Callithrix jacchus: one gene and its partners. The protein of the gene in region 2 interacts with the protein of the main gene of each other region in a biochemical or structural test. Links are inferred from orthologs where the notes say so. Each region holds a gene or a part of one and is shown on either strand. Other genes may lie near its edges.

Region 1 (3,628 bases), on a different chromosome or scaffold from region 2:
GACGGAGTCAAAGAGGCAGTCTCGGGTCAAGGCCCCTCAAGCATGATGAACGACTCTGAAGTGCAGCAAAGAAGACGTGCTGCGGAGGCCTGAGCAACAGGCCAGGGAGAGGCCAATGCAGATGCCCCCTACACTATTGCTGCCAACCAGATTCTCCCAACAAACATCTCAACCAGCTGCGAACTGTGCTGCAAGTGATTTGTCACCAATGGCAGTTAGCATGCTACAGCTGATAAATAATTTACTCTTAAAATGAACTTAGGCACGTGCCTGTGGTCCCAGCTACTTGGAAGGCTGAGGCGGGTAGATCACGAGGTCAAGAGATCGAGACCATCCTGGCCAACATGGTGAAACACCGTCTCTACTAAACATACAAAAATTAGCCGGTGTGGTGGCCCATGCCTGTGGTCCCAGCTACTCGGGAGGTTGAGGCGGAAAAATCGCTTGAACCCAGGAGACAGAAGTTGCAGTGAGCCGAGATTGCGCCATTGCACTCCAGCCTGGCCACAGAACAAGACTCCGTCTCAAAAAAAAAAAAAGAAAGAAAGAAAAAGAAAAATATACTTTTTATGTGCAAGCTCTGCAGAGAAAAATAACAGAGAAAAAAAAATGAACTTAAATTTCTCTCAAAGTAAAGTGGCTCCCTCACTTACATTCCTGAGTAGGAGAGAAAGGTGTGGAATTTTAGCAACAGCACCAAGGAAACTGCTCGTGTCCTCCAAGCCTGCCTTACGTGTGCTGCAGACCTGGCAAATGCTGGTGACTGAGCATAGTTCATGGTTGTGGCAATGACAACTAGGTCCAAACTTGTGAATAACGATTTTTTAGCTCAGTCCATTTTCTTCAGGATTTTACCCATGGAAATACCTTGTGCATGTGAATATTACCTATTTTCTGGACAGATACAGCGGAGAACAAAAGGACAGTTTCTGCCTAGGCTACCAGAATTAGCAAGGTGGCCTATGGCTAGTGGGTAAAGGAGATGATAAGGGAGAAGAGGCTGACAGTTGGAAGCCACGGAGGGGCTGGGTCTGACCTGCAGCATGGTAGGGTCCTGTGCTCTCCCCTGAGGCTCCTCAAAACTCTGAAGGACCCAGTCCTGAGTCTGACGGGCACGGCTTAAGCCACTGAGAGGGCTCGGGCTCGGGCTCGGGCTCTGGGCTGGCTGCTTCGAACTGCCCACGTGGTTGTCATATTTTGTGTTAGGGTTCCAGTGGTTGGTGGACTGCCGCTCCCGTTCCTCCAGGGTGTCCCGTGGGAGGCGGCTGTCCAGGCTCTTGCTCCGTTTGCGCTGTTCAGGGGGTAGCATCCGTGTTCGGTGGCCAGTCCGGCCCCGGGCCTGGCCCCTAAGTTGACTGTCAAACTTGTTGATGAGTGAGTCCACTGAAGACAGGGGAGCAGTGTCAATGGTGCTGCCCGGGGAAGCCGCTTTTGGGGCTAGGTCCAGCATGCTGGTGCTTCTGTTACTAGGATCCATTGGGCCAGGGCCTGCCAGCGAGGCCTGGGACTGGGAACGGAGTAGCTTTCCATTCCACTGGGTCCCAGGATCCTCATCAGATGTGCTGCTCTGCGAGGGGGCAGGAAATCCCCTGACCTGAGAGTAGGGGTTCTCAGGGAGTTCCGAATCTGAGCTCAGAGCTCCTGAGGCCCCTTGGTCATTGGCCCCCTTGATTTGGACCCCAAAGGAGTCGCCACCTTTCTCCCCACTGTTGAGAACCACAAAGGGCTGTCCAGCAATGCCCTGGACACGCACAGCAACCCCATAGGTACTGGCTCTTGCATCCTTAGCTGGGCGTCGACCACCACGACGTAGAGTGCCCATCTCTGCACCACTCACTGGCTCTGTGATGAAGCGAATCTGGACTCCATGGTCTACAGGGCCCCGGGGCTCAGCCATGTTGGGTGCCTGCTCCATGAATAGGAGGAGTCCTAGAAGATGAAGAAATGAGTTTAGGCTGAGAGAGTTAACTAGAAACTATGAAACTTCTACTTGCCCAGCTTTAGTGGGGCTGACTGCCTTGTCAGTTCCTACCAGATAAACCACTGGATTCTCAGACTAACACGAGGCCCCTGGAGAGCCTTTTAACATACAGGTTGCTGGACCTAACCTCCAGAGCTTCTGATTGAGTAGGTCTGGGTTGGGAACTGAGAATTTGCATTTCTAACCAAGTTCCCCAGGTGATACTGATGCTACTGGTCCAGATACCACACTTTGAGACTCACTAACCTAAAAGAATCCATTTCCTCTGATACAGCCCTGGGGAGCTAGGCTTTGTTAAAAGTTTAAGGATTTTGCTTGATGGCCAGGAGCAGTGACCTGTAATCTCACCACTTTGGAAGGCCAAGGCGGGCCAACTGCTTGAGCTCAGGAGTTCAAGACCAGTCCAGGCAACATGGTGAAACTGCATCTCTACACAAAATACAAAAGTTAGCCGTGCCTGGTGGCTCACGCCTGTAATCCCAGCTACTTGGGAGGCCGAGGTGGGCGGATCACAAGGTCAACAGATCGAGACCATCCAGGTCAACATGGTGAAACCCCGTCTCTACTAAAAATACAAAAAATTAGCTGGGCATGGTGGCGTGTGCCTGTAATCCCAGCTACTCAGGAGGCTGGGGCAGGAGAATTGCCTGAACCCAGGGGGCGGAGGTTGCGGTGAGCCGAGATCGCACCATTGCACTCCAGCCTGGGTAACAAGAACGAATAAATAAAAAAATTTTTAAATAAAAGTGTATCATCCCACTTCTGGAAAGAAACTTAAAAAAACTGCTAGCAGTGATGCCTTTCTAGTAAGTACTAGAAACAGGGATGGGAGAGTTTCTGTTCTCTGGAAGAGCAGAAAGGAGTGGACTTTCTTACTGTCTATCTCTTTGTCCCTTTTGAATTTGGAACCATGTGGAGGTATTATCTATTCAAGAAAAGATTTAAATATGGTTTAAAAACTGTGCCACTCCAAGGAGCCCCAGGTCAAGTAAACTTGTCTCAGCTAACAGCCAGAGCCAACACTATCCATAGGCCAGCTTCCCAGGTCCACATTGCTCGAGCTCAGAGTCAGCAAATGGAATGTATTCCAGGTAGGCTCTGGCTCCAGGAACTCGGCGGGGGAGAGATTATCTTCCAAGCAAATAAAAAAATTCAGCTTCCCCACCCCTTCCGCTAGTCTCTACCAGAGCCTAGCACCAAACTGGAGGAGGAGCCTCTAACGTGCCAGACAGAAACACAAACATAGCCAACTCAACCTCCCCGTGGAGCTCTGGGCCAAGGAAACTTGGCAAGGCCCCTTTCAGAGACTGTAAAGCGCTAGCAAGCCAGGAAATGAAGGTGAGATGAGAGGGGAGGGGAAGGGATGGGAGAGGCAGAGCTACAGGTGACAAAGGGCTTGGTGGGGAAGGTCTCCTATCTAAAGAAGAGCATTCTTAGAATTCCCAGCAATTTTCAAGAGAAAAGAACGGGGAGGGGAGATCCCTTTATTAGGAATAATTCTTCATCTTTTTGGCCCTGGGACTCCATGAGGAAATGATGAAAGCGATGCACCCTCCCCGAGGAGACAGCACACACAAACTTTTACCACCCCCTCTTAAAAGGTGTGTGAAGGCCGAAGGGTAGAACATTTCTCCAAGCCACTCATCC
Region 2 (3,628 bases):
TAAATTTAACTAATGTCAGACTGGAGGAGCCCACCCCAGCTCCTTCCACCTCTTACTCACCACAAGCTGATTCTTTAAGAACACCAAGTACTGAGGCAGCTCACATAATGCTAAGAGATCAAGAACCATCATTGTCGTCGCATGTAGATCCAACAAAGGTACCTGTGCTGCAGTGTTGTCCTAATTTGTTGCTCTCCATCAATCTGGCACATGATCATTTTTGCTTTGCCCTTTAAGTGTTCCTTTTGCTTTTTTACTGCAGGCTTATACACTGTAATGCTTTCACATCAATCAAATCATTTCAGTTTTGGAGTTTGCATGGCTTCCAGTGGTACACTGATTATTTGAAAACAGGCCTTTTAATTGAGATTCGTGCTTATTATGTTTATTATTTTTATTTTTGGCTTTCAGTATCTTCCAGAATTCCTTAATACGTAATTGAGACCCATCAGAAACATACTTATGTTAATACAAATTATGATGCTCATAAATTTTCTTGCGGATTTTTCAGTGTCAAAATGAAGTGTAATCAATAGTGCATTAATTTTCTACTAAATTTAATATTTATCTTTAACTCACTATTTAGTACATGCTGAAACGTAATAGCCACTACCTGCATTATAAATTTTGAGCTTTCACTTAAACCAGCTTTTTCCACTAATCTTGTCTATCCTGATAATAAATGGTATAACATACCATTATCACGTATTAAATCATAGTTTAATATTTAATCATAATCTAATAAAATAGACTAGAATTAAAAACAAGACTGTCCTTAACTGTGAATTTTTTACACAGGCATATAGAAAGGATCCATATCCCGAGGAAATGATGCGGCAGAACCATGTTTTCAAACAGCCAGCCGTTGGTCACTCAGGGCACAGGCCAGACAAAGAGCCTAATGTGACCTATGAACCCCAACTCCCATACGTAGAGAAACAAGCCAGCAGAGATCTTGAGCAGCCCACATACAGATATGAGTCCTCAACCTATACGGACCAGTTTTCTCGAAACTATGACCATCGTCTGCGATATGAAGATCGTGTCCCTATGTATGAAGAACAGTGGTCATATTATGATGACAAACAGCCCTACCCGTCTCGGCCACCTTTTGAAAATCAGCACTCTCGAGACCTTGACTCCAGACAGCATCCCGAAGAGTCCTCAGAACGAGGGTACTTTCCACGTTTTGAAGAGCCAGCCCCTCTGTCCTATGATAGCAGACCACGTTATGAACAGGCCCCTAGAGCATCCACCCTGCGGCACGAAGAGCAGCCAGCTGCTGGGTATGACACACATGGTAGACATAGACCAGAAGCCCAGCCCTACCCTTTGGTAGGGCCCAAACCCACAGAGCCCAAGCAGTATTTTGAGCAATACTCACGCAGTTACGACCAAGTACCACCCCAAGGATTTGCCTCTAGAGCAGGTCATTTTGAGCCTCTCCATGGTGCTGCAGCTGTCCCTCTGCTGATACCTTCATCTCAGCATAAGCCAGAAGGTCTGCCTTCAAATACCAAACCACTGCCTCCACCCCCAACTCTAAGTGAAGAAGAAGAAGATCCAGCAATGAAGCCACAGTCTGTGCTCACCAGAGTAAAGATGTTTGAAAACAAAAGATCTGCATCCTTAGAGACCAAGAAGGATGTAAATGACACTGCTGGTTTTAAGGTACACTAAATGAAAAGGCTTCTTTTAAATGAGGTACACTCATTTAAAGGCTTCTTTGCTCTTCCCTCCCCCGTTACATGACATCTATTCAGTAGTTATCTGTTCCTTAGGTGTATTTGTCTTTTTTTTTTTAACAGCCTCCAGAAGTAGCATCTAAACCTCAAGGTGCTCCCATCATTGGTCCCAAACCCACTTCTCAGAATCAGTTCAGTGAACATGACAAAACTCTGTACAGGTGAGTGCACTTTGTGCCCTTTGCGGCCTAGAACTGCCTGGGAATTTAACCCTCTCTACGTGAATTTACTTCATGACTTGCTTTCTTCCTCATCTGCTTTCTATGCCTTCTAGAACTTTAGAGCGTATAGAGTGATTTGCTCATACGTGAATCATTGAGATCCTGGACGAAGTTCTCAAAAATCCCTTTGAAAGTTCTTCAGGTCTATCATTGACTGTTCTTGACATTGGTATATGTACTTCTCAAGATGTTCTTCACTGCCTTGGTTACATTCCCCTTTCTCTTTGTAATAACTGCTTTTACCCTGCTGTCCCCCTAATCATATAGTCATTTAGGTTATTACATTGTGTTAAAGGACTCATGAGCCAGAAGGGGGCTGCCTTGTGAGTTTGCTCTGTGAGGACATGGGATTTGAAATACCTATTTTAACTGTTGGACTGCTCAGTTAGATCCTGAGTAATCACAGCAGTTAGTGATTATTGACCTTTTGGTGAAGATAAGACTTATATATTCCAGTTCCTTCATAACATTAATATCTAAAAAGTTGTTCGATTTGTCATTCATTATCTGTTAGGATCCCAGAACCTCAGAAACCTCAAGTGAAGCCACCTGAAGATATCGTTCGGTCAAATCATTATGACCCTGAAGAAGATGAAGAATATTATCGAAAACAGCTCTCATACTTTGACCGAAGAAGTTTTGAAAATAAGCCTCCTGCACACGTTGCTGCCAGCCATCTCTCTGAGCCTGCAAAGCCAGCTCATTCTCAGAATCAATCAAATTTTTCTAGTTATTCTTCAAAGTAAGTTATTTCACCTGGCTTTTAAAAATAGGATGCAGCATATTAATCGTGAAGTCCAACATATTTTGAAGAAAAATAGTTTAAGTGTAATTATGATTTCATGCTTTTTAATTCTGGGATGTGTGTTTTGTCTTTAAAGTCTGTTATTAGATGTACACAGTTTTTGCATTCACAAAGATGCTAACGTCACAGAGTTTTGACAGAAGACAGTGTCAGCTGCAAGGACCCTCAGCACTAGGCAGTCATCAGTCTTCATTTCTGTACACACACCTAATGACCTTATGCTGGTTCTTTTCCATGTTTATTTTTTAAATATAAAAACAGATGTGGGAGGATCCTGTCTGAGGGAAATACCAAAGAGGTTTGCTTTTTGTGTTTTTTTGTTTTTTTCAAGGCAAGAAAGAACTTTTTTTTTTTTTGGCAAGATTTTTGATCTGGTTTTACAGGTGAGGGCACAGCTGGGACTGAACCCCAAGTTTCTTGATTCCCAGTCATCTTTTCCCTGTGCTTGCTGTTCCTGTCTGTTTACTTGTCCCTGGGTTTCATGTTGGTTTGCTCTTTCTTGTGCCTTATGTGGGTTTGTGTCTCCTGCTGGTTCTGTGTCTCTGGTTATTAACCTTTTGGTCAAGATAAGACTTACGTATTCTACTTCCTTCTTAACCTTAATATCTAAAAAGTTGTTCCATTTGTCATTCATTATCTGTTAGGATCCCAGAACCTCAGAAACCTCAAGTGAAGCCACATGGCTGATAAGAGAATTTGGTACTGATAGTTGGGTCTGAGCCCACACAGGCACACAGATAGGTTCGTACCTCAACAGAAAATAACCTACAAGAGCAAAAACAGATGTGGATTTGTCAAAAAAAATTCATTTATACAGTTACAGGGGCTGGCTATGCAAGTCCTACGTCAGAGGGCAG
Region 3 (4,148 bases), on a different chromosome or scaffold from region 2:
CCCTTTACCCTTTACTCCCCTCAAAAGCTGTGACAGGAATGCGGCGGGGGGAGCTCTGGGGACTGGCTGGGCTTATTTTTCTCCTGCCCCCACATCCATCCCTCCTCTGGAGGCAGCTCCCGCCCCGAGCTGGCCTGTCATCCCACATTGCTCTGATTAGCTATAATCTTTCTTTTTCAATTTCTCCTCCCTGAGACTAGGGAGCGAGAAAATCTCCCAGAAAATGAATAAATATTTCAATTTTCGGCGCAATCAGTCTGTGGAGCCGGCACATGATGGAAACGGGGGGAAGGATAATGGTTTTCATTTAGATAAGATACAGAAAATTATTTAGTGAAAAATGAAGATTGATGAAGCCCATTGAAATTCTTTAAAATGCAATTTTTATTTCTCAGCCTAGGCTGAATCTCCCCTTCCCCTCGCCTCTCTGCTCCCCTCCATTCTGTGGCCTCTTCCTGACACCTACTTCCCCCATCCCCACTTCCCAGCCACCATCCCTCCTCCCTGATGTAGCGCCCTTCTCCGTTTCCTCTCTCACTGCCCCAGTCCCTGACCTAGAACTCCTTTCTGAGGATGGAGGCTAAGGAAAGGAGGTCCTGCCAAGCCCTCCACCCCCATGTGCGTCCCAGTCTCCCCAGACCCCCACTCCTTCCCTCCTCGCCTCCTCCCCGGTCCCTTGCCAAGCTTCCCCCAACACTCACGAGTGATTTCTCTCCCCTCCTGTCTAGTCTCTCCCTTTCTTTGATATCTTCTCCCCCCACCCCAGATACTTTCATCAGGTCCTGCTTTCACCCCTGTTGGAGCAGGGAGGTGGGAGCTTAGCATTCCCTAGCCCCTCACTCCTTTCCAGAGGGAAAGGCACACAGCACACACTTCTTTCTGTCCCCAATTCAATCCACATGTCTCTCCTGTTTGCTAACTGCTGCTTTTGTTCCTTAAGGCTCATTTGTATCCATGTTGCTGACATGCAAGGACTGCAAGAAAGGGGCAGATGTAAGCTTGCCCCCAACGTAAACCAATACTGACCCAGGGGCCCCCTCTACCACCCCCACCATGGCCCACCCCCCTTCCTCCCCGACACCAACAACTTGGCTGAACAAAGTCAGAACTTAAGTCATCTTACCAACTTTCTGCCAAGTGGCTGGCCTGGCCTGCCAACCCCAGGGCCAGGCCTCCTCCTTTCCCCCAGCACCACCTCCCACTCTCGGCGCACACCAGAGATGTATGCCCCTCCCATATGTGTGTTGGGGGGGGCTGGCATGGGTGCCCTATGGGGAGAGATGAATCAAGACCTGCCCCCACCAACTCAGCCAAGCTCTGCCTTTGGAGCTTCTTTGGCAAGGAGAGGAAAGGTCCAGCATAACACCGAACCTACAAACGCAGGAAGGGAACTGAAAGCAGGGCAATAATGCCTGAGGCTGTTCTCAGATCCATTCCCAGACACCCCTAAAAGAGACCCCCTCCACCATCTGCAGTCGGCACTTCTCCATAGGTGTCTGCCCTTATGAATGTCGGTTCAAGTTTCTTTGTTTGCTAGAGGGTTGGTTTCTGTGCGAGCGTGTGTCCTGTCCTTGTAAACGCCTGCATACATGTACTGTGTGTAGTTGTAACGTTTGGGTGGATGAATGTATGCGCGGATCTGGGGGAGGAATCTGTCTTCCTCAGATGTCTCAGTGTCTTTGTGTATATGTGTCTGCCTCAGTGTGGGGGATGTTTGCGGGAATGTGTCTGTCTCGGTAGGTGAGTAGTCTGTCTCAGTGTCTGTGAATGTTTTACGGTGTCTGTGTGTCAATTTCTGTGTGTCAGCTCCATTTTTGGGAAGGGAAGGAGTTCAGCAGGATTCAATCTTCCTTAGAATCAGACCCAGGAGGCAAGAACCAACTCCCACAGACCCCAGTCCTTGCTGCATTCTGGACCCTTGGTTCCCTCAGCCCTCTTCCCTCCCCCAACCCCAGCCCTGCCCAGGATACACTGACATCCTCACCTCTCTCAACCACCTCCCTCACCTCCCCGCCTCTCCCCGGCCAGTTCCAAATAACCCCAGACATCAACACTTTTCCTGAGCCCAAGTAAAATGTCAGCCCCCTCTCCCCACTGCCCCCGCCCCCGCCCCCGCCCCGGTGAGTTCCCCCCTCGGTATCAAGCGGGCCTGAAGCTGTATTTGGAACTCCACTCTCCACTCAGAGCCTCCGCGGGCAGGGGTTCCAAAGCCCTTCCTCTAGAGGGAGGGGCCCCGAGACACCCCTCCCTTCCTCTAGAGGGGACATCCCCAGGCAGTCTGGAGCGGTGGTTCAGACTCGGTCCCCAGAGAGGGTGGGCTGGAGTAGAGGGATCCCCTTAGCAACATCTTCGAGAGGTGGGACCCAGCTTGCCGCTCACCCCCTCGCCCGAAATCCGAAATCCCAAACTCTTCCCAGCCTTCCCCTTAGCCTGGACTCAGGCGTCCGGAACCCGGGCCTCAGAGGACGAGGGTCGGTAGGGCTGCCAGAAGCTCGGAGAAAGCGTTCGGTTCCCCGTTTTACTCGGACCTCCAGCCCTCGCGGCCCCAATGCTCGGTTCTCCCGCGCAGCCAGAGGAAACAACTTGGGCAAATCAACGGAAAACTCATTCTCCCCAGGCCCCCGTTACTCCGCGCCTCCGCCCCCGGGGCTCTGCGCCCAGACCGAGCCCCCGCCTCGTGGCGTCCGGACCCAGAGGCTGGCCACGGGCCGCCGAGCACCCCAGCACTCCCCCAGCGGGGGCGCAGTGCCCGGGCCCAGGCGGGGAGCCGAGCGTCCGGGGGCGGGCTGGGGGCCCTTACCTTGGGAGAAAGTATCGGAGAGAGTGAGGATCCAGACGAGGAGGCTCAGCATGCTGTCCGCCCGCCGTGCGCCCGCCCGCGGCTGGGGCCCGGAGTTGGCGAGCGAGCTAGAGGAGCGGGCTGGGGAGGAGGGGAGCCCGGGAGCCCGCCCCCCGCCCGCCCGCGCCCGCCCCTACACACACACGCGCGCGCGCGCACACTCACGCGCACAAACTCACTTCCCTGCCCTCCGATTCTCTTTATCTCTCTTTCCTCCCAGTCCTTTTTCTCGTCCCGGTCGCCCTCCTCCTTTAATTATTTCTCCTTTCAAGCTTTAACTCTCAGGGTCTCTTTCGGTTTTTGCCCCCCCTTTCTCTCCCCTTCTCTTCCTTCCCTCTCTCCCCCTGCCTCCCTGCCTGTCTGCCTCCCTCCCTCCGCCTGACGTCTACTCTCCCTCCGACGGCGCCTCCCTCCACGGGCCCTCCCCCTCCCCCCCCCCAACCCTCGCGCACACACGCACACCCCTCGCTGGAACTGAGATGGAAGGAGAGCAAAGACAGAAAGGAATTGAGGGCAAAGGCAAAAGGGGTGAACAACGTGACCGTCGTGGGCTCTGGAGCAGGCACGACAGGACCCCTGCCCACCCCACCCCTCCCATTTATAGACGCAGTCTTGGTCGCGGGCTATGGAACTAAGCAGTGGAGGAGGAACACGGCTGAGGGACATAGCCTCTAGTTTAGAGGATGGGGAGTGTGTGTGTGTGTGTGTGTGTCTAGAAGTGGGGTGGGGGAGCAGGGAGTTAAATAAACATAAAGACATTTCTTTTTAAATCCCACACCCAAAGTCTAACCCCTAAATTCCCCAAATTAAGATTTCTCAGTTGACTAATGAAACCTTGGAGAGGGGAGGGGCATACCTGCCTCTCTCCCTACCCACAAAACCCAGAGCTGGAGAATCGGAGCTACCCCTTGGACCTGCCTTGAGACCCTGTCCTGGCTTCACCCAGACAAGGTCGAGCACAGCTAGGCGTTGGAGGACTTAGCAGCCTGGAAGAGGCACACTTGACTCCTTCTTTTGTTCATCTTAGCCTTCCATCCATCCCGATGGAGAAGCTAGCCAACTGGATGGCTTTGAAGGGCCAAGGCCTGGCCTCACTTCCCTGAATGCAAGCCAGAGGAGAGGACAGCCACCAGAGGATCTCTAAGCACGCTGGAGTTTGAGATCTTTTGGGATAGGAACGGAGGAACTAGGAAGGAAGAGCATTCAGGAAGGATCTCCACTTTCTTAAGGGCCCAGTTTGGCAACCAGCTCCTCTTCTCACCCCTAACCAGATGCTTCTGCTCACAGGGTTGCTGGGAATGCTGGAGGG
Region 4 (4,184 bases), on a different chromosome or scaffold from region 2:
TACTGTGTACACTATTAGCACACTGTATTCCTTTAGATACCTTACAACTGACCCTACATCAAAGCAGGAAATCAAGATATTTTAATACTTCCAGTGCTAAAGCCTTGATAAAACCCTGCATCTGTACTCTAAGACATCAAGTGTGCTCTACTGGGAAAGACAGCAAGGTACAATTCCAGGAAACCAACAGCTAAGCTTTTCACCTAAAGACACTCAAGGAAATGCAGCTTTTTTATGAGGGATACAGCTTAAATATGCACACATAACCCTTTTCCTCTCTAGATGTAACAAAACTATACCAAAAGCAGCCAATGAATCACCACCCTAGATCTCTACAGCTAGTGGGCGTGAACACCACTGCTCAGGCAGAGGAATGGAGAAAAGTTTCCTGGGCTCCATCCAAAAGCATCCAGTGAGTCATGGCAGGTTAGGAGAGAGAACCTGTGAGTCAAGGGTCTCTCTTCCGAGAATTGGTTTTGAGAGAAAAGCCTAAGCCACACCTTGGATAAATTATGGCTTTCAGTAAAACAAAAGTGGATTCTGATCTGGAATTTAAAAAAAAAAAAAGGAAGACATCTCTAAATTGTGTGTGTGGGGGGATAGATATTTAGTCCTTTCACCACAGTTTTAAAAACTTTAATAACTATATTATCCAAAAAATGAAAGCAAAATGTTTTAACACATTATCATGTAAGGATGATCCATTTGAATACTTACAACATGGATCAATCTGATTTCATTTGTTTATTTAAGGAAGTTAAAGGAAAACCTATTTTAAGATGTCAAAAATGGACTATTTTGACCAGAGCAATGAAACTGAGAGTGAGACCTCTCTGGAATTGTTCTTAGAAACTTCTCCAGCCTCCAATTCCTTCATGTGGTACCTAAAATGCCCGACACCATTTCCTTAAATATACTTATCTTTCCATGGAGAAATTCAATAATTATTGCCAAATTTTTCACTTTATAAATACAAATACAACCTATGAGGGCAATAAGCAACACATAATTACCAAAATTATAGATTGGTTTTGGTTTAAAGAAGTCCTAATATGGAAACCTTCAAAAGCTGAAATAACACTCAAAACGACCATGCACATTGAGCAAATGCCACAGGTACTCAAGGTGTTTAAACAGATTTGGAACAGGCTTAATAACTAAACTATACAGCTTTTGACATACCCTATTAAAAGTTGTTCTTTGATAGGAGGTGAACAAAACAAGTTAAGTAAACTTGAACAATGGCAACACTTCTTACCCTTAGCACTCCATGGGGGCCAGTGGGCAGTCATGTTTATCTAGGCAAAGACTGAGGGACCTTTTCTTCAAGTTAGTTGAAGGGAATAACAAACATATGATATAAGACAATTAATGTGATTTCTCAAGGAAGATACTCCAGCAGTGAATCATTATTACCTAAGTAAATGGGTATTTAACGATTTTTCTGACAATACACTCAAAACCTTTAATTTAAAAAACATATGTAAAAACAAAGATCCTATTATCCTTCTTCCACCATGCTTAGAAATATGTCTCTCTATACAGTCCTTTCCAACTTGACAAGGGGTCACTGAACATCCATGGCACAGAAATTCCTTTGTGGAAGATGGAAACCTGAAAGACGCACCTCTTCTTTCTTTCTCACTGCCTCCTGCTCCCAGCTGACCTCTCATTTCATCAGCTGTGACTATTTTGCTGCATTTCCCTTCAGTGTCTTTACTTTCCCCTTTGTATTATGTTGGGCAGGTTATTTCGAACCTTTCTTGTCTGGCTTCTGCCACCTGCCACCAACCTTTTCATTCCAAGATAGCACTACACAATCAGACTCTACTGAAGACGTTGGGTCTAAAAGTTAAAACTTTGTGGGAAACTCAAGTGGCTTCTCCAAGGAGTCTTGCAAGAGGCCTCGCTGCACTAACTGAATCTTAAAAATGGAAAGAATCAACCTGAAGTATGAGTAGCAGACACTTAGATAGGATATTTCAAGTAGGGATGTAACTTTTGCTATGAAAAATCATAGTAAAGATTAAAAAATCGATCTAATACTTGAGGATTTTTAAGCTTGCACACCTGAGTAGTTACCAGGAGCATGTCTAGGAGAGGCCTAAGAGCTCAAGTTCAAGTCTGGCCTTCACTCTCTCAATCTCGACCCACCAGCATAGGAATTTCAGATGAAGCCACACCTAGTGTGGCAGAAAAGTGCCACCTAGGGAGTTAGAGGCAACACTAGAGCTTATGCCTGGGCATCCCTTGTCTCAAACCAGGATTCGCATTTGCTTATGACAGAGCACGTCATCAGAAGACTTGATCAACTCCAGACTGATAACCATGTAATCACACGACAGAATGAGCCCATAAGGGAACGGCAGGGGGACTGGGGCCTCTGGACGGCGGCTGTGAGGTGGGGGTGCACTCACTGTTCAGATTCAGCAAGGAGTCAAAGACTTTGCACTGGATCTGCCCGGTACTCTGCGACACGCAGGACATCCACAGCCCCTCGTACATGGCCTGGGCGGTCACGATGTTGTCTCCGGCATAGGAGTAAATCCTCCACTGGGGCAGGGCAGTGCTGACGATGGCGCCGATCCATCCCAGGAAGGCGAGAATGAAGCCTAGCAGCTGCAGCCCCGCGTTGGCCATGACTCGCTCGGGCGCCCGCGCTGGCTCGGGGTGGCAGGTGCAGAAGGCGGAGAGTTTGCAGGTGCGCAACGCGAACTCCCGAAGGTGACCCGGCCCCGCGGAGGAAGTTAAGGCGGGGAGTCCAGCTCGCTGCGCAGCCGCTGGAGAAGCTCTGGGTCCGGGTCGGGGTCCGGGTCCGGGGCGGCGCTGGAGTCTGGGTACTAGAAGCTGCGGTTGCTCCCGAGCTCAGGAACTGAGACGCCAAACCGCTGGGCGCCGCGATTTAAATCAGCTCCGCCCGCCTCAGCCCTGCAGCCGGGGAGCGCCCCCTGGCGGTTTCGGGGCGGCTCACCGGGAGGGGGCGGGGGGAACGCGCTGCGGGCGGTGTGGGGACCTCCCCGCAGGACCAGGCACCAGAGCTGCGTCGCTGCTCCTTTCTCTCGTGGATCTCCTCGCTCCTGTCAGGAGTTTCACGCTTTTCATTCACTCACTCCAATCATCCAAAAATTACTATGCACTGTACCTGTAAATCCTAAAAACAACGATGAAGAAATGAGCCCTCAAGAGCTGCGGTTTTAGCTTTAATACTTTTTCCCAATATCTTATTGAAAGACATGTCTACCCAACTCCGCATCTCCTCCCGCATCTCACATACATTTCTCTCTCCTTTGCTCAGCTTCCTCCCCTTTCTCCTTTCCCCTGCCCCCTTCTGTCAAGCTCTTTCCATCACTTGTCTCTCCGACGGCCCCCAGAGATCTATACACTCTACAGATTGGGAAGCTGAGACCCAGAGAGCAACATGATCCACGCGCGCGCGCGCACACACACACACACGAGCATATCAGTACTTGGCTCCCCTCCCAATCTGCTTTCCACCACATACCAAATTGACCCAAAAATATGCCCTTTGATCTGTGATTGTCCTTTTGATGTATTATTGCCCTTACGAAAATGCAGCCTAGCAGCCCTCGCCTGCCAAACACCAACCTCTTCCCCACAGCAGTTATGTCTTATAGCAGCAATTCATTATCAGAGGGACTTGGCCAGTGGTCCGCTCTCCCTCAAAGGTGTTAATTTTGTGAATTACCAAATGTTGTTTGTCACAGGTGAGGGCATGTAAACAGTGCTTCCCCAGTGGAGAAAAGACTGCGCTGGAGTTTAGGAGGGCCGGGCTTTTAGGAAGTTCTGGCTTTCACTGCAACTGGGTATGCCACCCCTCCCTTTTTGGTCTCTCTGGGATGTTTGTTTTCCTCTAGGGTCTCTAAAGCTTCCTTCTTTGCAGTTAGTCAGAAGTGCTGCTGTGGTTGGGAATAATTGAAATGTTTTTCCAACTGCTTTTTGTGTGTGGTGCGAGTGTGGTGGGAGGGGAAGCTTCTGTGGTTTTAGTAAAAGCAGAAGATCCTTAGAGGCAGAGATAAACATATGAAGGAGAAAAAAAGATCCACCCTTGTATACCATGGGCAGCTGCTAGTTAGTGACAGAGAAGGAAAAGCGCGAATGCTCAAGATGGGAATGGGAGGCAAGGCCAAGCCCTCCTGTCATTTCCACCTGGCGCTCTCTGGATG
Region 5 (4,348 bases), on a different chromosome or scaffold from region 2:
AGTAGGTGATTGTTCTGCCAGTCTTGAAGGGTCTATACTGGAAATTCAGATTTGGGAAAGCCAGGGAATGGGTAGTAGATTAAGTTATGGGGGCAGATGATTTTGCTCACAGACAGAGTGTTAATTGAGAAAAGGATGGACTTCTGAAGAATATTCACATTTAAGAGATGAGTAGAAGAATAGAAACCTTGAAGAAGGCTAAAATGCGATAGCCAGATTGTGGTGGGCTGAAAAATTCGTGGGTTAGGCTGGGCACAGTGGTTCATGCCTGTAGTCTTAGCACTTTGGAAGGTTAAGGCAGGCGAATTGCTTACACGCCCGAATTCAAGACCAGCATGGGCCACATGGCAAAACCCTGTCTCTGCAAAAAATACACACACACACAAAATTAGCCAGGCATGGTGCTGTGCACCTGTAGTCCCAGCTACTTGGAGGGTTGAGGCAGGAATATCACCTGAGCCCAGGCGGTCGAGGCTGCAATGAACCGAGATCATGCCACTGCACTCCAACCTGGGTGACAAAGTGAGAACCTGTCTCAAAAAGAAAGAAAAATTAGTGGGTCAGAGGGTCTTGTAGAGAATGGGGAGGTGTGCCCTTGACCCTTACTGTCCTGAACCTTGGTAACACTGAGGGATCCTTGAACACTGCAAAGTCCTATAAGGCTCTGAAATTCCAAAGCATTGACTCAGATACCTGCCTCATGCAAAGTCCTATATTCTAGAGCAGCTTGCCTTTCCTCTGTGGCAGACCCTTGTGCCCCTAACAGATTACCCAGAGAATTTCAGGGCTCCCTCTCAGTCCTAGAACTCTTGCTCTAGAGTGCTCCCTCATCATCTGAGAGGTTGATGAGGGGGGCATCTATTAGGAGACTGGACAGGAAATGTCTGGGCATGTTACACATGCAGAAGGCCTTAGGCCAGGCTACAGAGGGGGATTTGGGCATGGCTGGGAGGATCTGAACTCTCAAACTATGGACAGAAGACTTTATTGCCTACCCTCATCTGCCCTGGAGAAGATTTTCACCATGGGCAGGGGGATTCCAGGCTAGGCCACTAGCCTGGAGATTCAAGATGCCTCTAACAAGCTGGAGTCCAAGACTACATTCTAGAATCTGTTCCTCCTGATGCGATCTGCAGTTTGGCCTCAGTCTGCAACTGAGGGGCCTTATGGCCCTGTTTCTTGGCAACGTATTAAACAGCAGGCCTTGGAGACTAGCATTTGAGTTAACACAGTCACCACAACCGCCACTGCCATCATCACCTTCCCGGAAGGCAGCCACCTGTCTGGCTCCTGGCTTTGTCCAGATGCCAACCTAAGGCATGCGCCTACGCAGGAGGCGATGACATTTTGGCTCCACATTCAAAGTTTTTTTTTCCTTTCTCATGTGTTATTTTAAAAGATAACAAAGGTCAAAAGGCATCTAGCATTTTCTGGTTTCTCATAAGCTTCTGGTCAATATTTAATCTGGTTTATGGATTGTTTTAGGTCTTCTACATGCCTTCTTGAGCCTGCTTGTGGCCACCCACAGACACTTGTAAGGAGGAGAGAAGTCAACCTGGCAGAGAGACTCTGAAATGAGGGATTAGAGGCATCCAGGAGCAAGAGCTTCAGTCTGAAGATAAGGGAGCAGTCCCTGAAGACGGTTCTACCATGGCCTCTCTTGGCCTCCAACTTGTGGGCTACATCCTAGGCCTTCTGGGGCTTTTGGGCACACTGGTTGCCATGCTGCTCCCCAGCTGGAGAACAAGTTCTTATGTCGGTGCCAGCATTGTGACAGCAGTCGGCTTTTCCAAGGGCCTCTGGATGGAGTGTGCCACACACAGCACAGGCATCACCCAGTGTGACATCTATAGCACACTTCTGGGCTTGCCCGCCGACATCCAGGCTGCCCAGGCCATGATGGTGACATCCAGTGCAATCTCCTCCCTGGCCTGCATTATCTCTGTGGTGGGCATGAGATGCACAGTCTTCTGCCAGGAATCCCAAGCCAAAGACAGAGTGGCAGTAGCAGGTGGAGTCTTTTTCATCCTTGGAGGCCTCCTGGGCTTCATTCCTGTTGCTTGGAATCTTCATGGGATCCTGCGGGACTTCTACTCACCACTGGTGCCTGACAGCATGAAATTTGAGATTGGAGAGGCTCTTTACTTGGGCATTATTTCTTCCCTGTTCTCCTTGATAGCTGGAGTCATCCTCTGCTTTTCCTGCTTATCCCGGAGAAATCGCTCCAACTACTATGATGCCTACCAAGCCCAACCTCTTGCCACGAGGAGTTCTCCAAGACCTGGTCAACAACCTCCTAAAGTCAAGAGTGAGTTCAATTCCTACAGCCTGACAGGGTATGTGTGAAGAACCAGGGGCCAGATATGGGGGGTGGCTGGGTCTGTGAAAAACAGTGGACAGCACCCCGAGAACCACAGGTGAGGGACATTACCACTGGATCGTCAGAAGGTGCTGCTGAGGACAAACTGACTTTGGGCATTGGATTGAGCAAAGGCAGAAATGGGGGCTAGTGTAACAGCATGCAGGTTGAATTGCCAAAGATGCTCGCCATGCTAACCTTTCTGTTTTCCTCACCTTGCCGCCCCCCTTCCCTGAATCCCCAACCCTCAACTTGAAACCCCACTCCCCTACTTTGAGCCAGGCCCCAGATGATCCCTTTGCCCTTTGGTTTAGCTGGGACTCCATCCCCACACCCACTAATCACATCTCACAGACTGACCCTCTCTCTGGCTGAGTTGGCTCTTAGCTCTTTGCTGGGGACGGGAAGGAGAAGCGGTGGCTTTTGTGGACATTGCTCTAACCTACTTATCAAGCCTCCCTCCAAAGAAACAGACTGGCCCTGGAACCTCCATCCCACTCTTGTTATGACTCCACAGTGTCCAGACTAATTGTGCATAAACTGAAATAAAGCCATCCCACAGTATCCAGGGAACAGAAAGCAGGATGTAGGATGGGAGGATGGGAAGGCAGCCTGGGACATTAAAAAAAAAAAAAAAAAAAAAAAAAGCAGAACCCATTTCCCAGGGCACTTTCCAGAATTCCCTCATATTTGTGGTCAGAGGATTGAGCCTGTGGCTTAAGGAAAGCACAAGGAAAGGAAAAAAGATCTGGTGGAAAGCTCAGGTGGCAGCAGACTCTGACTCCACTGAGGAACAGCCTCAGAAGCTGTGATCACAACTTCACTGAAGCCCCTGCCTCCCTCTGGGGCACCTGTCCTGTCTTCCTGCCTAAACCACAAGGCTAAGGGCTACAGACAATGGTTTCCTTAGCAACAGTGAACTAGTTTTTCTAGAGATTGCCCTTGGCTGGGGGATGACAGTGTGGGATCTATGGATCAGTACACACACAGGATGGAGCAGTGTATCTACTGAGGAAGATACCATTCCTTGATGCTAGCCAAGAAAGAATAAGAACCTTGGTGTCTAAGAAACCGGGTGGATGTGTATGGTGGCTCCAGTGGGTGTTTCTACTATGTCAGCAAGAGGCAGCCCCCCAGAATGTCTTCAGGCATAATGGAAAATCAGCTCAAGTGAGATCAGGCCCCCTAGGGTCCACCCACAGAGCACTACAGAGCCTCTGAAATACTACAGCACCAGGTGAACCCCTTCAGATTCCCCCCACTGTCCATCAGATGTTCTAGAGTGGCTAGAGGGCATCCAAGAGCTCCAGCATGGCATATCCATGCCCACCGTGTTATGTCCATGATCTGAGTGATAGCTGCACTGCTGCCTGGGATTGCAGCTGAGGTGGGAGAGTGGAGAATGGTTCCCAGGAAGACAGTTCCACCTCTAAGTTCTGAAAATGTTCCCTGGAATGGGAGTAGGAAGTCATATACCAAAGATTTTTTCCCTCACCAGTCTCAGCATGACCGACTACTGAAAAACTCCAGCACACCTCCTCGAACCTCAGTGTCAGCAGAGAGGGCCCATGTGTTGTCTGTAACATGCTTTTCCCATGTCCACTTTCTTGCCTACGTTCCAGCTGCTCTCCCAACCTGGAAGGCCTTCTACCCTTAGCCAAGTCCTACTCAGGCTTGGAGAACTTGCTCAGCATCACTTCCTTCATTGAGCCTGCTCTGATCACTCCATCACTCTCCTACCCCACCCTCTCCCAACCCTCAATGTGTAAATTGCTTACTGATGCTTAGCATTCACAATTTTGATGGATCATTATTTGTGTCTGTGTGTCCGATCTCATAAATACACTGTAAACTCTTTGGTGGGTGGGGGCTATATCCTAGACCTCTCTGTTTCCCCCAGACTATCTGTAACAGTGGCACACAGTAGGTGATCAATAAACACTTGTTGATTGAGTAACTGTCTTATTGATTAAAAGGGGCCCAGAACGG
Region 6 (3,751 bases), on a different chromosome or scaffold from region 2:
TGCCTGGCACATCTCTCCTGGGGGCTCTGTTCCCAGAATGAGCTGCCTGGCCCACCCTCGGTCTTTGTCCCCTCCACCAGAATGTCCTCCCTTAGCCAGTCCAGTTGCCTTGCAGAACTTTTCTTTTCCTTCCTTTTTTTTTTTTGTTTTTTGAGATGGAGCCTCACTCGGTTGCCAAGGCTGGAGTGCCATGGCGAGATCTTAGCTCACTGCAACCTCCGCCTCCTGGGTTTAAGCAATTCTCCTACCTCAGCCTCCTGAGTAGCTAGGATTACAGGTGCCCACCACCATGCCCAGCTAATTTTTTTTTTTTTTGTATGTTTAGTAGAGATGGAGTTTCACCATATTGGTCAGGCTAGTCTTGAACTCCTGACCTCATGATCCACCCACCTCGGCCTCTCAAAGTGCTGGGATTACACCGTGCCCAGCTGCCTTGCAGAATTTTTCTGGAGGACCTGTTCCTGATGCTTCTGTAGCATAATCCAAGAATCCAGCACCCCCTGGAGTTGTGCCACGCTGCGCCCCTTTGCAGTCGAGATCCCCCAGCACCACTGCCTCCGCCCCGGGAGGGTTCCCCTTTCCTTTGCAATCTCCTGGGACTTTGCACCCACTCTGGCTTTATCAGAAGGTTTTGTGTCTCCACAGGGTAAACACCCATTTACGGGGCTGATGATGGCTCCAGGATCTAGTTCACGGCTTGCTGGTGACCCGCCCTACCCAGTTCTGGGCAAGCAGGCTGGACCCCGGCAGGAACAGAGCCCACCAGCCTAAACTTCTACGGAGGTGGAGGGGGCACAGGCGCTGGTGTCTTTTTGGCTGAAGGTGTATCGTGTCGCAGAAAAGCCGGGCGATAAAGATGGGTGAGAGCGAGTGATGAACCCAGGGGTCCCGGCCTCCCAGCTCCTCGCTCCCCTACATGTAACTTTATCGGACCGATGCCTCGCACATTGCTGGTGAGGTCAGATGCACTAATGATCAGAATCACAACAGGAATGAAACTGCCAGTGATGAAACGGATAAGATGACAATAATCAAGGATAAGAAAGGACAATAATCAAGGTGGGCTCAAATTTTCTCCCTGAGGGTCCCAACCTGTCCTTCCACCTAAGCCTGGAATGAGGAAGCACTGGCCTGTGGGGACCCTGGTCTTCAGGCTCCCAAACCTGGCTGGGTCTGGTGCCCCCTGACCTTGCCCTGTGAACACCCAGGTGTCCCTGGGTTATGACTCAGTGTCTGTCTGCCGGCTGATCTCAGCACGGGCTTTGAGGAAGGGGAGAGGGTAGTTTCTTCTGAGACAGGAGTGACTCAGGGGCCCAGGGTTGGGGCCTCAAAAGTGCCTTTGTTGGCCTGGGTTCAGGAATCCAGAGAAACTGGTCAAGGGGAGGCCCCAGTGAGGGAAACCCCTCCCTCTGCCCCCGCCCCTCCACCAGAGCCATATAACCGTTCAACCTGTCCCGGAGAGCGAGCGCCCTGGCAGCTGCCGGCAGGAAGGAACCGGTCTGCTCACACTCGCTGGGTTGTCCATCAGGACTCACGGAGCAAAGGAGCTCTCTGCAAGGTCAAGTCCGTCCCCAGGCTTGGAATCCTACAGCCCCCCACAGCCGGATCCCCGCAGCCTTCCAGGTCCTCGACCTCCGCGGACGCTGAGCGATGGCCTCCATGGGGCTCCAGGTGGCGGGCATCGCGCTGGCCGTGCTGGGCTGGCTGGCCGCCATGCTGTGCTGCGCGCTGCCCATGTGGCGCGTGACGGCCTTCATCGGCAGCAACATCGTCACGTCGCAGACCATCTGGGAGGGCCTGTGGATGAACTGCGTGGTGCAGAGCACCGGCCAGATGCAGTGCAAGGTGTACGACTCGCTGCTGGCGCTGCCGCAGGACCTGCAGGCGGCCCGCGCCCTCATCATCATCAGCATCATCGTGGCCGCGCTGGGCGTGCTGCTGTCCGTGGTGGGCGGCAAGTGCACCAACTGCCTGGAGGACGAGAGCGCCAAGGCCAAGACCATGATCGTGGCGGGCGTGGTGTTCCTGCTGGCCGGACTGCTGGTGATAGTGCCCGCATCCTGGACGGCCCACAACATCATCCAAGACTTCTACAACCCGCTAGTGGCCTCCGGGCAGAAGCGGGAGCTGGGCGCCTCCCTCTACATCGGCTGGGCCGCCTCGGGCCTCCTGCTGCTTGGCGGGGGGCTCCTCTGCTGTAACTGCCCACCCCGCACAGACAAGCCTTACTCCGCCAAGTATTCTGCCGCCCGCTCTGGCGCCACCAGCAACTACGTGTAAGGTGCCACGGCTCCGCTCTGTCCCTCTTGTCTTTGTTCTTCCCTGGACTGAGCTCAGCGCAGGCTGTGACCCCAGGAGGGCCCTGCCGTGGGCCACTGGCTGCCGGGGGCTGGGGACTGGGCAAACAGAGACTGAGCTAGGTAGGAGAGCAGCAGCCTTCAGCCTCTCCGGCCCACTCGGACACTTTCCCAAGGCCGCCTCCTGCTAGCAAAGACAGATGCCACCCTACTCTGGATGTTTCGGAGGGACGGAGGTGACAGGGTGTGGTGGTGGAGTGGGGAGCTGGCTCCTGCTGGCCACTTTGGGCTCTGCCCGCATCGGTGTTGGCCACTGTCCCCATTTACAGCTTCCCCACCCTGTCTGCCTGCATCTCCTGAGTCCACCTCTCTCCCTGGTGTCTCCTCTGTTCCCCGGGCAGGCCTTGATGTCACCTCTGGGACTGTGCCTTGCTCACCCAAACCGGCGCCAGGGAGTACAGCTGAGGCCTCACCCACCCACCTGCCTGGGCAGTGCAGAGTGGATGGACGGGTTTGGAGGGGAGGGGTGACTGCAATGTAAACAGGTTTGGGCAGTGGTGGGGGAGGGGGCCCAGGAGGCCACTCTGGCTGCCCAGCTCTGCGGCCTCAGGACTCTCTGCTACACCCACTTCAGCCCAGGGCCCCTGGGCCTCTAGAGACTGATCCCCTCTAAGTCCTTTGTCCCTGCCAAGGACACTAACCAGCCTGGGAGGATGGCAGGGAGGAGGGGATGGCTTCATCCTCAGAAGCCCCGGGGTTTTTGCTCCACCTTCTTTGTCGTTTCTGTTTTGTAATTTAAGAAGATCTATTCACCACTGTAATTATTATTATTTTCTACAATAAACGGGACCTGTGCACAGGAATAAGTTGTATTGTCTCCGATTTCTGCTGTGGAGGTGGGCGGGGCAGGGCTGGAGGCCTGCGCCGGGGGTCGGTGAGGAGCGGGATCACTGGGCTGTGAACACTTAAAAAGAAAAAACAGGACCCAGGGAACGGTGAGAAATTGAAGCTGGGCCGGGTGCGGCGGTGTGCACCTGTAATCCCAGCACTTTAAAAGGTGGAGGTGGGAGGATCACTTGAGGCAGGAGTCTGAGACCAGCCTGGGCAACACAGTGGCCCCATCCCTCCAAAAAGTTAAAAAACTGAGCTGGGCGTGGTGCCTGTAATCCCTGTACTTGGGGAGGTCGAGGTAGGAGGTCTGCTTGAGCCCAGGAGTTTGAGGCTGCAGTGAGCTTGGATAAACCACTGCACTCCAGCCTGGGTGACAGATCGAGAACTTAAGTCTTAACGAAAAAAAATCAAAACGGGCCTCCAAGGTATCAACTTAAGAAAGAAATTGAAAAAAAAAAAAGAAAGAAATTGAAATGGGCCTCCACAGTATCACCTAAAATTAAAACAAACAAACAAACAAAAAACAGTGAAATGGGCCCACAAGGTATCACCTAAAAAAACAA
Region 7 (3,925 bases), on a different chromosome or scaffold from region 2:
CATAGTAGTTAAGCGTGTCATTTTCACAAAAATTAGTTTCTAAACTAGACACTGCTGAAAAAAAAATTCACTTTCCCCGAGAGAAAGAGTATTGAGCTATGAGATCAGACAGCCCTTTTTATATCTCCTGATTCTACTGGGTAATCAATGAACTGTTCAGAGTCAGCCTCACCTTTGAACTATCTGTCCTGTAAAAGATTTAATATCATAATTCATATAAGCATTAGAGGTCCCAGCAAAATATGCCCCCAGAACATTAGCCACTGTTATTTATTATTTCCCAGAAGTAGAAATATATATTTAGCTACAGAAAAAATTTAAAACACAGCTGTTATATACATAATATTTATAACATATAGATTTGTGTGAATCTATAGTACTATCTTAAATTATAAATACATTATCTGCATTGAATATTGGTATAGAGATCCAATGATTATAAGGATCATTGCTGATAAATAGCATAGAGTAATTTATATTTTCAAAAATTAATGCTATGTTTATCTTTCAAAGGTAACTTTGACATTCTCAATTTGGACAATAAAAAATATCAGGTTTTTCAACTCTTCTGCAAATTAATAAAACAAAAGGAGACTAGTGAAAGAATGTCAAATAATTATAAAAAGGTACAATTTATTAATATGAAAGTATAAAGCAAATAGAACACATTCATTTAAGCTAGACGGATGTAGACACAAACTTTCAGATTGGATTGTCAGTTTTATCAAATTTGGAATACACACAAACACACTATTTACAGATTTTGGTAAAACTTAACAGAAATGGAACAAGTAGGATATTTATTTTTCACAGAACTAAAATGACACTAAATGATTTATGTACTTGCAAAGGAGCCGGTGAAGTTTTCAAAGGCTAACTTTATTTTTGTTGTTGTTTTTATGGTAGCCAAATGAAAACCCAGACATACTCTCCTGCTCTTTTACTTATGTTGATGAAACCTCAAGGTCTGTACTCAAATATGTATTAAATAGACCCATACATACATGATTTCTTGCCAAAAGGCATCGTTCTTCTTCAAATACAAAAACATAATAGGAAAAAAAAAATTCACTTTCCTAAAACAATCTTAGATCACACTTTTATCTTTCTTCTGAGTACAGCCCTGGAAAAGTAGTTTGAATGCAAAGCCCCTTGACAAAATATCTGCTTTTTAAAAATGTTAATTTAATATACAAGGAAAAAAAAGCCTCTGGGAGAAGAGGATAAAGGAGTTAGAATTTGTAACTCCTAGGCTAAAAAATAGCATATCAGAAAGCCATTCAATTTCCTTTACAATGCTGATTAAAGTTTTCATTTTAACCTTCATTATAAATGAAGGACATTAATCCCTAAGCTGTTTTTATACAATTAATATTAACCTTCTTCAATTCTACCCATGATTTCCTGGAAAAGCAATAGTTGAGTTGTATTTATTCAGTGTAATGGATAGGTTTTTCATTTTAAATAAAATCATATAAACATGTCTCTACGTGAGATATAAATGTTACACTCATCTATGTATGTAATGCTAAGTCATGGAGAAATTACAATGGTAAAATAATATAGTCATTAGCAATGTCATTTTGAAGTAACTGATAAAAAGAGTAAATGTTTGAACCGTCTTAGAAAACAAATTACTGTACTTTCTAGAACAATCTAGTACTTTCTAGAACAATATCTTATTCTGCTGACCTAGCTTGTAGAATCATAAATAGCTGATACACAGTTCCTGTGATTAAGGTTAGGCAGTTAAGAACAGCAAATCAGTTTCCTGGGGGTCCATTTTGAGAAAATAATAGAGAATTTAGTAATTTGTATGGCTTTATAGGTAAAGTTAAAAAAAATACACAACTACACATACTGACTTCTGGAGTATACAGTCGGTGACTTCATTTCCGTGTGATAACTTTTCTGGGTTGTTCGATGGGAAGGTATCGAGTATCTGTAGCTACTGCTCTTTTCATTGGAACAAAAAACGCAACAGAACAGGGCTCCTCCAGCAATCAGCACTAGTGCCGTCGTCCACCCTATGTAGAGGGCTTCTCCAAGCTCACGTTTTTGGGCAACATCCACTATTGGGTTGTAGAAATCTCTGATGATGGAATTGGCAACCCAGCTCACAGGGATGAGCACCACTATGCCTGTGATGATGAAGATGATTCCAGCCGTCAGCAGAGTGTGACCCTTCACCTTACTGTCCTCCATGCACCTGGTGCATTTCATGCCAAGGATGGCTATCATGAAAGCCAGGAAGGACATCACGGAAGCAGCACACATCAGTCCTCTGGACGCCTGTAGGTCTGGAGAAAGAGCCAGCAGAGAATCATAGATTTTGCACTGCATCCTGATGTTAGCATGCCTCACGCAATTCATCCACAGTCCTTCCCAGAGGTTTTCAAAAACCACAATGTTGCTTCCAATGAAGGCAGACACTCTCCACTGAGGCATGACGGTGACAGCCACTGTGCCCACCATGCCAACACCACCAATCACCAGTCCAGCAATTTGTAAGGCATAGGTTGCCATTATCCTCTGGGATGGGTTTCAGCCGCCTGGACTCTTGAGCTGCTAGGTCTGCTTTGAAGCAAGGTTCACTGTGCCACAGGATAGAACAGTTTTTCCTGGAGTAATGAACTCAGAACCCAGTGGTTTTTCAAATAAGAGCTGCTTTGCTACTTCTGGCTAGATAAAATCCAGTGCTGGCTGGCTGAGCTGCCCCTGCTATTGACTTCAACAGGGAAACTTACAAATCAGGTGCGGCAACTTTCTCAGCCAATGAGAGTTGGATGGTAACCGAGGTGAGTCTAAACCAACACTTGGGTACTTGGAACGGCTAGACCTGCACATAAACATTCTTTATACTTCACAGTCTTCCAAGAAGACAGCAGTATGTTTACCTGTAGGCATAATTGTAAGTGGTTGCATAAGCATCCAGAAATGAGCCAATCCCTTGTAATGTGAAAGGTGCACCTTGTACAGGCAATTCTGATACTCTTAGTAAGAGCTGCTGGGACCAAGGGATAAAATAAAATAACTGCCGGAGAATTCTGCAACGCTGTCGAAATGCCAAAGTGAAACGAGGATAGGGGATTGAAAGATTGCTTTTACCTGGGAAACCACATTCTTTGGGACACATGTGATCCAAGTGATTGATTTAATTTGTGTACAACTTCAAAGCAAGCTCTATGCTGGGGTGAAATCAGGGAGCAGCTCATGCCAGAAGACAAAATAAGCTAAAGTAATTAAATACACAAGGCTGTCCTTCTCCTTGGCACCTAAAACATATTGGAGTTTTTTAAGCCAGAAAAATTACTCATTGGCATTTTTTTTTATAATCTTCATTTATAAATTTTTTTTGCCAAAATAAATATCACCAGATGATTTTCTTATGTAGCCCGCACTATAGCATTTAAACCATAAAGTGATTTACAGCTTGCTAGCTTATGAGCATATTTTGTGGTGTTATTCTTGCTGCTTTATCTTCCTGGGCTGAAGGAACTAGAATTCTGCAGATGGCACAAGAGCCTTGGGTCTATGCAAATGGGTGATAACTTAAAATAAAATATTTACAAGACAAGGGAACTATACTTACTAAACTGTATTATATTAGGTGTTAACCAAATTTGCTTTCCTACTTTTTAATATCATGTCTGCAATAGGACATAAAAACCCCTAAATGCAAGACAATTTGAACTTTCCTCTCAAGATAATGATAATCTAACAGTGGTGCTGTACGAAGCATAAATGTTTATCTGAGAAGACTCCGCTAGCAATTTTCTTCTGGAGATCAGCTTGAGCCCTCTGTCCGATCTTTCCAAACTTAAAGCTGTATTCCATTTGTTTTTTCTCCTTAACATCATGGAAACTGATCTTTCCTTTACAATTTTACTTTCTCTCTGCTTGATTAGACTACCTTAAATCCAAA

What was found.
Region 1: the proteins of TJP1 (region 2) and CGN form a complex in vitro, tested with the Homo sapiens proteins (2 studies listed by BioGRID and IntAct, with this or other methods). The link is inferred for Callithrix jacchus from reciprocal best matches to the Homo sapiens genes TJP1 and CGN.
Region 3: the proteins of TJP1 (region 2) and KIRREL1 form a complex in vitro, tested with the Homo sapiens proteins (3 studies listed by BioGRID and IntAct, with this or other methods). The link is inferred for Callithrix jacchus from reciprocal best matches to the Homo sapiens genes TJP1 and KIRREL1.
Region 4: the proteins of TJP1 (region 2) and CLDN1 form a complex in vitro, tested with the Homo sapiens proteins (2 studies listed by BioGRID and IntAct, with this or other methods). The link is inferred for Callithrix jacchus from reciprocal best matches to the Homo sapiens genes TJP1 and CLDN1.
Region 5: the proteins of TJP1 (region 2) and CLDN2 form a complex in vitro, tested with the Homo sapiens proteins (2 studies listed by BioGRID and IntAct, with this or other methods). The link is inferred for Callithrix jacchus from reciprocal best matches to the Homo sapiens genes TJP1 and CLDN2.
Region 6: the proteins of TJP1 (region 2) and CLDN4 form a complex in vitro, tested with the Homo sapiens proteins (2 studies listed by BioGRID and IntAct, with this or other methods). The link is inferred for Callithrix jacchus from reciprocal best matches to the Homo sapiens genes TJP1 and CLDN4.
Region 7: the proteins of TJP1 (region 2) and CLDN8 form a complex in vitro, tested with the Homo sapiens proteins (2 studies listed by BioGRID and IntAct, with this or other methods). The link is inferred for Callithrix jacchus from reciprocal best matches to the Homo sapiens genes TJP1 and CLDN8.

What each region holds. Positions count from the first base shown.
Region 1 is NC_133519.1:11,422,575-11,426,202, reverse strand, and holds part of CGN (cingulin), read right to left. Parts: intron 1,930-3,628; 5' UTR 1,916-1,929; coding exon 1,037-1,915; intron 1-1,036. UniProt on the Homo sapiens protein: Probably plays a role in the formation and regulation of the tight junction (TJ) paracellular permeability barrier.
Region 2 is NC_133507.1:7,945,198-7,948,825, reverse strand, and holds part of TJP1 (tight junction protein 1), read left to right. Parts: coding exon 1-158; intron 159-798; coding exon 799-1,671; intron 1,672-1,808; coding exon 1,809-1,906; intron 1,907-2,480; coding exon 2,481-2,708; intron 2,709-3,628. UniProt on the Homo sapiens protein: TJP1, TJP2, and TJP3 are closely related scaffolding proteins that link tight junction (TJ) transmembrane proteins such as claudins, junctional adhesion molecules, and occludin to the actin cytoskeleton.
Region 3 is NC_133519.1:18,182,338-18,186,485, reverse strand, and holds the start of KIRREL1 (kin of IRRE-like protein 1), read right to left. Parts: upstream 2,885-4,148; 5' UTR 2,853-2,884; coding exon 2,801-2,852; intron 1-2,800. UniProt on the Homo sapiens protein: Required for proper function of the glomerular filtration barrier. It is involved in the maintenance of a stable podocyte architecture with interdigitating foot processes connected by specialized cell-cell junctions, known as the slit diaphragm.
Region 4 is NC_133516.1:19,268,428-19,272,611, forward strand, and holds the start of CLDN1 (claudin-1), read right to left. Parts: upstream 2,880-4,184; 5' UTR 2,641-2,879; coding exon 2,418-2,640; intron 1-2,417.
Region 5 is NC_133524.1:103,499,303-103,503,650, forward strand, and holds the start of CLDN2 (claudin-2), read left to right. Parts: upstream 1-1,526; 5' UTR 1,527-1,650; coding exon 1,651-2,336; intron 2,337-4,348. UniProt on the Homo sapiens protein: Forms paracellular channels: polymerizes in tight junction strands with cation- and water-selective channels through the strands, conveying epithelial permeability in a process known as paracellular tight junction permeability.
Region 6 is NC_133503.1:9,873,259-9,877,009, reverse strand, and holds CLDN4 (claudin-4), read left to right. Parts: upstream 1-1,463; 5' UTR 1,464-1,650; coding exon 1,651-2,280; 3' UTR 2,281-3,160; downstream 3,161-3,751. UniProt on the Homo sapiens protein: Can associate with other claudins to regulate tight junction structural and functional strand dynamics.
Region 7 is NC_133522.1:36,260,354-36,264,278, forward strand, and holds CLDN8 (claudin-8), read right to left. Parts: upstream 2,699-3,925; 5' UTR 2,527-2,698; coding exon 1,852-2,526; 3' UTR 612-1,851; downstream 1-611.